Rattus norvegicus: one gene and its partner. The protein of the gene in region 1 purifies or fractionates together with the protein of each later gene. This does not show direct contact. Links are inferred from orthologs where the notes say so. Each region holds a gene or a part of one and is shown on either strand. Other genes may lie near its edges. The genes, in order: Eif3l and Zfp746.

Region 1 (4,545 bases):
GTAAGTCTCAGATTTGGCCAAAGGAGTGTTGTGAGCACCTAACTAGCTCTTCTTAGCCCAGTTTCAATGTGATCAGGTGGGGGAGAAGGGAGGTTTGGTGGTTCTTTTGATGAGGGAGATTACGATGAGCACTCTGTAGCCCTGCTCTGATAGACGACAAGTCCCTGCCTGGAATCTGACTTTCTTGTTCTCTCTATAGACGCTGATGGACCTGCTCCCCTTGAACTCCCCAACCAGTGGCTCTGGGACATCATCGATGAGTTCATCTACCAGGTGTCTGTCTGTTCAGCCTCAGCCTTAACCTCAAATAAGTAATTCAACAGACAGTAGCTATAGTCGGTGTTGAATTATGTCTCTATCATGGCTGCGTGGCCCTGGGGCCCTGAGGCCCTGGGGCTCTGGGCTCTGGGTTAGAATGGTTTTCTGAAGAGAATAGTTGGCTGACCTTTTTTTTTTTTTTTTTTTTTTTTTCTTTTTTTCGGAGCTGGGGACCGAACCCAGGGCCTTGCGCTTCCTAGGTAAGCGCTCTACCACTGAGCTAAATCCCCAGCCCCAGAAAAGAATTCTTGAAGAGCTGCTTTTGCTCTCCAGAGATCTCCGGACAACTCTGCTCTCAGTAGAGAAAAATTCTAAAGAACTGCCATTGCTCTCTGCTGGCTCACCTCGCCTAGGTTTTTCGGTTTTTGTTTGTTTGTTTGTTTGTTTGTTTGTTTTTACATATCAGTCTTGTCTTTTACTCCAGGATTCCTTCGATTGTCCTATGAATCAGCATCCCATGACCCTAGCACCTTACCTCTTAGGAGGCAGCAAGCACACATTTTCTTTTTTTTTTTTTTTTTTTTTTTTTTTTTATTTTGGTTCTTTTTTTCGGAGCTGGGGACCGAACCCAGGGCCTTGCGCTTCCTAGGCAAGCGCTCTACCACTGAGCTAAATCCCCAACCCCGTTGGCTGACCTTTTGACTCAGGAGAAAGGAGGAGAATCCTCCGGCCAAGCTGTATCCCAAGATAAGCATAATCCCTTGGCTTAGCTGCTGTTCTTTTGTTAAGGGCTTTGAGGATCAGTCAGTAAGTGCCCTTGAGAGTCTTCAGGCCAGCACACTAGACAGTGGGTGTGGCACCTTCTTGGCACTCTTTTCTTTTAAATTGAGACAGGGTTTTACTATGTGGAACTCACTTTGTGAACCTGGCTGCACTTGAATCCACAGACATCTACCTTCTGCTGCTGGGATTAAAGACACTTGCTACCACCCTTTTTGGTGTAGTTTAGTGTTTTCAGTCCTCAGATAACATGAAAGTGCCTGTTTGTATCAGTAAGTCTCGGGACATTGGCGCATAGGTGTTTATATGAATTTATCTGTTACTTAAAGTAATATGCTTTTTTTTAAGGTTTATTTCTTTCATGTGCAAGTGTTCTATCTGGAACCTTTGTGCCAGAAGAGGGCATCGGATCCCCATTCCAGATGGCTGTGAGCCACCATGTGGGTGCTGGGATTTGAACTCAGGACCTCTGAAAGAGTGTTCTTTACCACTGAGCCAGCTCTCCAGCCCTACAGTTGATGCTTTATTTCACCATCTGCTGTGACTTGAAGACATACCCTTCGTCTTCATCCCAGTACTTAGGCAAAAACAGGATGTGTGGAAGTTTGAGGCCACCTGAGCCAGATAGCTTTGCTATTTCCACCTCTGAAAAGTTTAATGAAAGCCCGTGTCACATCATTCTCCGCATGTGACTGTCACTTGGATTTATGCCCCTGCCACATTGTTTCCTTCTGCAACAGTTCCAGTCATTCAGTCAGTATCGCTGCAAGACGGCCAAGAAGTCAGAGGAAGAGATCGACTTCCTGAGATCCAACCCTAAGATCTGGAACGTGCACAGCGTCCTCAACGTGCTGCATTCTCTGGTGGACAAATCCAACATCAACCGGCAGCTGGAGGTGTACACCAGTGGAGGTGAGTGTGTCTGAGATCTGCCTGTTCCACTGCCGCTGTGTCTTGAACCTTTGTCTGGATTAATACCGCTCAGAGTTTTTGTTGGAAATGCCTTATATGTTAAAAAAAATACTGTGGGTTGGGGATTTAGCTCAGTGGTAGAGCGCTTAGGCCCTGGGTTCGGTCCCCAGCTCCAAAAAAAAACCAAAAAAAATACTGTGAATATGTGTGAATGATGGTGGGCGCGTGAGCTCGTGCAGAAGTTGATGCCTTCTACCGTAACATGGATTTCAGGATTGAAACTTGGGCCAATGCTGAGCCCTTTTACCCGCTCTTCCTTATTGAGAACCATAAGGTTCTGATTATTTATATGTCACCACTCTAGTTGTAGGTATGACCCTGGGAAATGGGAGCCCAAAGTCTCCTACAAAAGCCAGCTCTACTTGGAGCATCAGACCATTTATGTTTCAAGACAGGGTTTCTCCTCATAGACCAGGCTGTCCTTGAACTCAGATTCACCTGCCTCTGCCTCCTGAGTGCTGGGTTGTCCACCGCCAGGCAGGAAACTTTAATAACAAACCCAAGTCTGAAATAAACCCACTCCTATTCACTACACCTGGGAGGAGCGCAGAAGCTCGTTCCAAGAACAAACTCAAATTTAAGAGGAACAGGTATGTGAGGATAAGAACAGAAACAATCAGCAAATGAACTGCCCTTCTCAAAGCAGCTGTTAGTCAGCAGAAGCCGGGAACACAGCCAGGTTCAGGTTCCTGAGATTACTGGGCAGAGGTGTTCCGTGGTATAGGAGGTTACCTGGTTACATGGGACCTGGCAGTGGTGGTCAGGCCTGGCCTGTTTTGTTTTGTTTTTGTTTTGTTTTGTTTTGTTTGTTTTTGTTTGTTTTTGTTTTTTTTTTTTTATTCTTTTTTTCGGAGGCCTGGCCTGTTTTATCTTCCCCTTGGAAACAGCATGGCATCTGTCCCTCACAGGTGACCCCGAAAGTGTGGCTGGGGAATATGGACGACACTCCCTCTACAAGATGCTTGGCTACTTCAGCCTGGTGGGGCTTCTGCGCCTACATTCTCTACTGGGGGATTACTACCAGGCTATCAAGGTGCTGGAGAATATTGAGCTAAACAAGAAAGTAAGTACACCTGTCTCCTCTGTTCCGACTTCAAGAACACTGACCTGCTGAGTAGCCAGGAAACACCCCCTATCCCCACCCCACACACCGGTTGAGAGCTGAGCCTGAAGACTCTGTGCTGGATGACTTGGTTGGCTGGCCATACTGCAGTGAGTACTCTTGGAGTCTGTGTCCTGTTTTCAGAACACGAGAGTGAGAGCTCTTTACTAGAGTTAAAGCTGGGCATGGGTTGCGCATGCACTCTGGGGAAGCATGGGCAGCAGGAGCACCACAAGTTCAAGGCCACCCTGGTCGCCATAGCAAGTTCAAGGTCAGCCAGGCTTCTATATAAATAAGAACCTGTCTCCAAAAGCAAAAACAAATTCCCGAGACACGTAGGGGTTTTTTGTTTGTTTGTTTTTTTCTTTGACCCAATTGATAAGATATAATTGTCCACTTAAACATACAAAGCCCAGAACCATCCATCCCTTAGGAACATTAATAACAACCTGTAAATACACAGAGCAGAATCTTAACATCACCTGCCATGGCTTCTCACCTTCTCTCTCCTGTCTCTTCCTTTCTCCTCTAGTCTCCTCCTCTTCCTTCAAACTTCTCTCCTGCCCATCCTTCCTTCTCTTCCAATGACAGGCCTCCTTCTATCCTGTACCTGCCCCTCACCTGTACTTTACAAATTCAATGGGGAGGTTCTGGTGAAGTCATCTGATTCCGGAGACTAGGTAGCTGTCCTTGGGGCAGTGGAATTAGCATCAAAATACAGATAACTTCAGGGCAAACCACAACATTTCCCCCTTTTTGTCCAGTTAAAAAGCCTTTTCAAGGGATTGGGGGATTTAGCTCAGTGGTAGAGCGCTTGTCTGGGAGTGACCAAATATCTATACACATGGGAAGCCTAACACGGCTTCCAGAACTGAGAGGTTGTAGAGACAAATCTCCACTAGCACAGTCCCCTGTTAGCAACATGTGAGCGCAAGTCTTCAGCCTTCTGGCCCAAAATCAACTGACAGACTCTCGAAATGCAGATTTTGAAGGGCTGATCACCCTGTCTTGGCAGAGTTTATCAGTCAACTATTCTGCATAATTTGTCCTTCTCTAGACAGTATTAGTCTGCGGATGAAATAGGCAGTTTTGTCCAGTGGCTGCCTAACCACAAAGTATTGCCTCACCTGGAGGTAGAGATGTTCAAATTCTTCATTAAATCTGCCAAAGGGGAACTGTTAGGAGCAGATATGTCTCAACGAAAGATAAATAACTTTAAATCTCAAATTTTGTGGATATCTGACGTTTTTGAAAACCATCTATCTATATAAGGTAATCTGAACTATTGTCTCCATATCCTAAATTTTATCTTGAAAGTACTCTTACAAACTCAGAGCCATGACTTTGCTATTTGAATCTTAACTCACAGGTGTAATCAACTCAGAAGTTTGTAATGACAACAATAAAAGGACTGGCTCTAAACCTTGTACTTT
Region 2 (3,811 bases), on another chromosome or scaffold:
CGGAGAAGAAGCTGGCTGACTGTGAGAAGACAGCTGTGGAGTTCAGCAACCAGCTGGAGGGCAAGTGGGCCGTGCTGGGAACCCTGCTGCAGGAGTACGGCCTGCTGCAGCGGCGGCTGGAGAATGTGGAGAATCTGCTACGCAACCGAAACTTCTGGATCCTGCGGCTGCCCCCTGGCAGCAAGGGCGAGGTCCCCAAGGTAGCCTTTGGGAGCCCTGGTGTGGTTAGCCTGAGGGTCCATGCCTGAGAGTGTGAGGGTGGGCGAGTATGACACTGGTTTCAGGTGCTCCTGACCTTTGATGACGTGGCTGTGTGTTTCTCTGATCAGGAGTGGGGCAAGCTGGAAGACTGGCAGAAGGAGCTCTACAAGCATGTGATGAGGGGCAACTACGAGACACTGGTTTCCCTGGGTAAGCCTAACACACCTCTGGAAAGCATGATTTTACAAGTTCCAGACCTCCCTTTGTGATATGGTTGTTTTCATGACAGTCATATGCAGAGTCCTAGATAATTTGAGCAAGGAGATTCCTTTTCCCCCACCTTTCTGTCTTCCCACCTCATATTGTAAGGTAGAGTCAGATATTCCCTTCTGCTTGACGAAGTAGCAGACTGAGGAAAGTGGTGACCTCCGTTCTCACTAGGCCCAGAGAATTGACATCTCCAGTTTGGCTGAGACTGGAGTACAGGTGTGCTGGCAGCTCTGCAGTGTATTTTTAACCAACTCCACTTTAGCAAAGGAATTGTTCTCTTAACATGGATTGGATGGCTTTTATGTGACACAGCACAGGGTCTGTGATAATAGAGTAGACCTTGCCTCTCAAGACAGACGTTCTTTCTCTGCCCCAAAGCCCTGCTCCTCCCACCCCTGGAGCTACTGTTCTGAAAGACCCTCTTCTTAGTCTTCCTTCCTGGCCAAGAGTATTTGGTGGGATTCTGCTTTGCAGACATGCCTTGTCCAGCACCACCAGCTATGTGGACAGACGACTAGGGGGTAGGGTCTTTCACTTGCATTATTCATGTGCAATAGCACCTTTCCCACCCTCTGGACTCTACACAGGACTGCTCGAAGACTTTGAGGAGAATGCCTACCATTGATAACTGTTCTTCTGCACCACTCAAGACATTTAGTTTCTAGGCTGTTAGTGATTTTACTATTGCCTGTCCCAGCTCTGATGAGAATGTGGCAAGATTAACCTCCTGTCTTTCCTCAGACTATGCCATCTCCAAACCCGAGGTCCTCTCCCAGATTGAACAAGGCAAGGAGCCATGCACCTGGCGTCGCACTGGCCCCAAGGTCCCGGAGGTTCCTGTGGACCCAAGTCCAGGTGAAGGGTTGGGAAAAGGTCAGGGACACAGCAAGTGACCAAATGAACACTTAAGAGTAAAGGTCCAGGATAGTGTGACTCTTCCTAGAGACAGAGAGGACGTTTCAAATCTAAATCTTTCATGGTTGAGTCATAACTCCGGATTACTCAGCTATGTTGTAGAAACTAGTCATTTCCCTCCTGGACATTGATAGCAGAGCCAGAAGCAGGGGCACAGAATTAGAGGATGAGAGAAGAGGGAGGGAGAGAGAGTAGAAGACGAGCTTGTTCAGAACCATTGAAGGAGTCATCCAACCTTTTTTTTTTTTTTGGTTCTTTTTTTCGGAGCTGGGGACCGAACCTAGGGGCCTTGCGCTTCCTAGGTAAGCGCTCTACCACTGAGCTAAATCCCCAGCCCTGAGTCATCCAACCTTAAACATAACTAGGAGTTTCAGAACCCATTGTCAAGCTGTGTGGTCCAGTGAAATTGGAATCAGGCGTTTATTCAGCTGATGTTAATACTAAACAGTGTCTGAGATTTCCCTGCAGCCAGTCAGCACCTCTACATGTTTAGGGAGGACAGGATGCTAGGATGCTGCAAGGAAGACCTTGCTGGGTCCTTTGGTGAGAGACATTGTCTCTACTCAACCTCTGCCTCCTCCCTTGCCTGTCCTTGGGTTTGTGTCCTTGACCTATCACTCCGACTTCCTGTGGTTACCTTCTATGTGTTGTACATGTGTACTTCATGTAAGTCAGACAAGGGCAGAAACAAGTCTAGAGCTGAGCACATGGAACAGTGCCAACTGGATGGTGGAAAGGTGCCTGTTGAGTTCTTTCCCTGAAAGAGATGGGGAACACATGGCCTTGACTTCCAAAGCCAAGGGTGAGAGGTTACTGGTGCCTGCTTTTATTTCTGAATGTTTGTAACAATAAGGTCCAAGAAACGGCTAGTTGCTAGCCCTCACTCCATTGTCCATTGGAACCTGTCTGCTCTTCCCTCCCCAGTCCAGTCATCTGGGGTGATTGAGTTGGTGCATGCCCTTGTCGGGACTCTTCTCTTCACCTCCTGTGATCTCCATGGTGCTTTACAGGACCTACCATGCACAGCAGTACTCCTGGGTCCAGTGTATTCCATCTATCAGCTCAGGCTGAGTCTTGACTCTTCCCACGTGCTGCTGCCCTACAGCTGTTTGTCCTTTCCCGTGTGCTTTGGCATTGTGCTTTCAAAAGTCAGGTGTCCTTGCTCCTCATCACTGACCCATGAGCACACTCAAACACACACACACCTACCTACCTCCCTCCCTCCCTTCCTCCCTCTCTCTAGAAACCTTGTCTTGAGAGCTAAAATGTTAGACCTCTGAGCACCTTGCCATCCTCTTCTTCCCTACTCTTGCTGATTGCTATATCCATGTGGTGGCTTTACCCTCTTCACTGTCTTGGCACGGTTATGGCTTCCTTATTCCTTCCACATTTCTAGTATGGACTCCACAGCTACTTACTGCTCCTGGTTCTTCCAGTCTGAACCTCTGATCCAACAGGTCTTCAGTCTATAGGACCTTCTAAGCCTTCATACTCCTCATCCTCCTCTCACTTTCCCTATATTCACTCTGCTTGACAAAACTGTAATCCCGAAAATTGACTGTCTGCTCTGCACCTGCACTCAGACAGCTGCCAGTGGCAAACCTATAAACCTGCAGCACTCACCTGGTATTCCTGACCATTTAGTGGGAGCTCCTTATCAGCCAGCAATCACCAGATCACCTCAGTTCCCTCACTAGCTCAGAGGTTGATAAAGTACTACTCCTAGGCCAAACCTAGCCCTGTTTATATAGGGCTCACAAACCAAGTATTTCAATTTAGTATTAAAAGGCCATTTTTAATTTTAAAAACGTACTCTCAGGGACTAGAGAGACAGCTCAGTGGTTAACAACATGTGTTGCTCTTAAAAAGAACCCAGGTTCTGCTCTTAGCACCTGCATGGTGTTTTGCAACCATCTGTAACTCCAGTTGTAAGAGATCTGACACCTTCTGACAACCTTAGGCATCAGGCACACATGTGGTACACATACATACATATGAGCTGAACATTCACACACAGAAGACAAAATGAATCTGCCAGGCGGCAGTGGTAATACCTTTGATCCCACACTTGGGAGGCAGAGGCAGGCAGAGTTTTGTGAGTTCAAGGCCAGCCTGGACTACACAGCAGTTCCAGAACAACATTCGTTTAGGGCCCTCCAACTCCTATTCTGGCTGTTCTGGGTCAGCTGCTCTGAAGTCATAATTGTAGCTCTGCTCACCTAGCTACTATAGTCTAAGGACATCCTCTAAGTCATCCGTTTCATCTGGGTGCCTCTTTCTCATGAGTTTGTCACCATCCTCACTGACTTAATCCGTTTTCTGTTATTACTGAATACCACAGCTGGGTCATTATACCCTACCCGGAGCCTGGAAAGTCCAGGTCACAGGACCATACCTGGTGAGCTCCTTCTTGCTGACCTCACCA

The links.
Region 2: the proteins of Eif3l (region 1) and Zfp746 purify together in Homo sapiens (affinity purification with mass spectrometry; 3 studies listed by BioGRID and IntAct, counting the BioPlex papers as one, with this or other methods). This does not show direct contact. The link is inferred for Rattus norvegicus from reciprocal best matches to the Homo sapiens genes EIF3L and ZNF746.

What each region holds. Positions count from the first base shown.
Region 1 is NC_086025.1:112,531,387-112,535,931, forward strand, and holds the start of Eif3l (eukaryotic translation initiation factor 3 subunit L), read left to right. Parts: upstream 1-1,627; 5' UTR 1,628-1,745; coding exon 1,746-1,950; intron 1,951-2,918; coding exon 2,919-3,073; intron 3,074-4,545. UniProt on the Homo sapiens protein: Component of the eukaryotic translation initiation factor 3 (eIF-3) complex, which is required for several steps in the initiation of protein synthesis.
Region 2 is NC_086022.1:78,403,027-78,406,837, reverse strand, and holds part of Zfp746 (zinc finger protein 746), read left to right. Parts: coding exon 1-200; intron 201-329; coding exon 330-411; intron 412-1,212; coding exon 1,213-1,326; intron 1,327-3,811.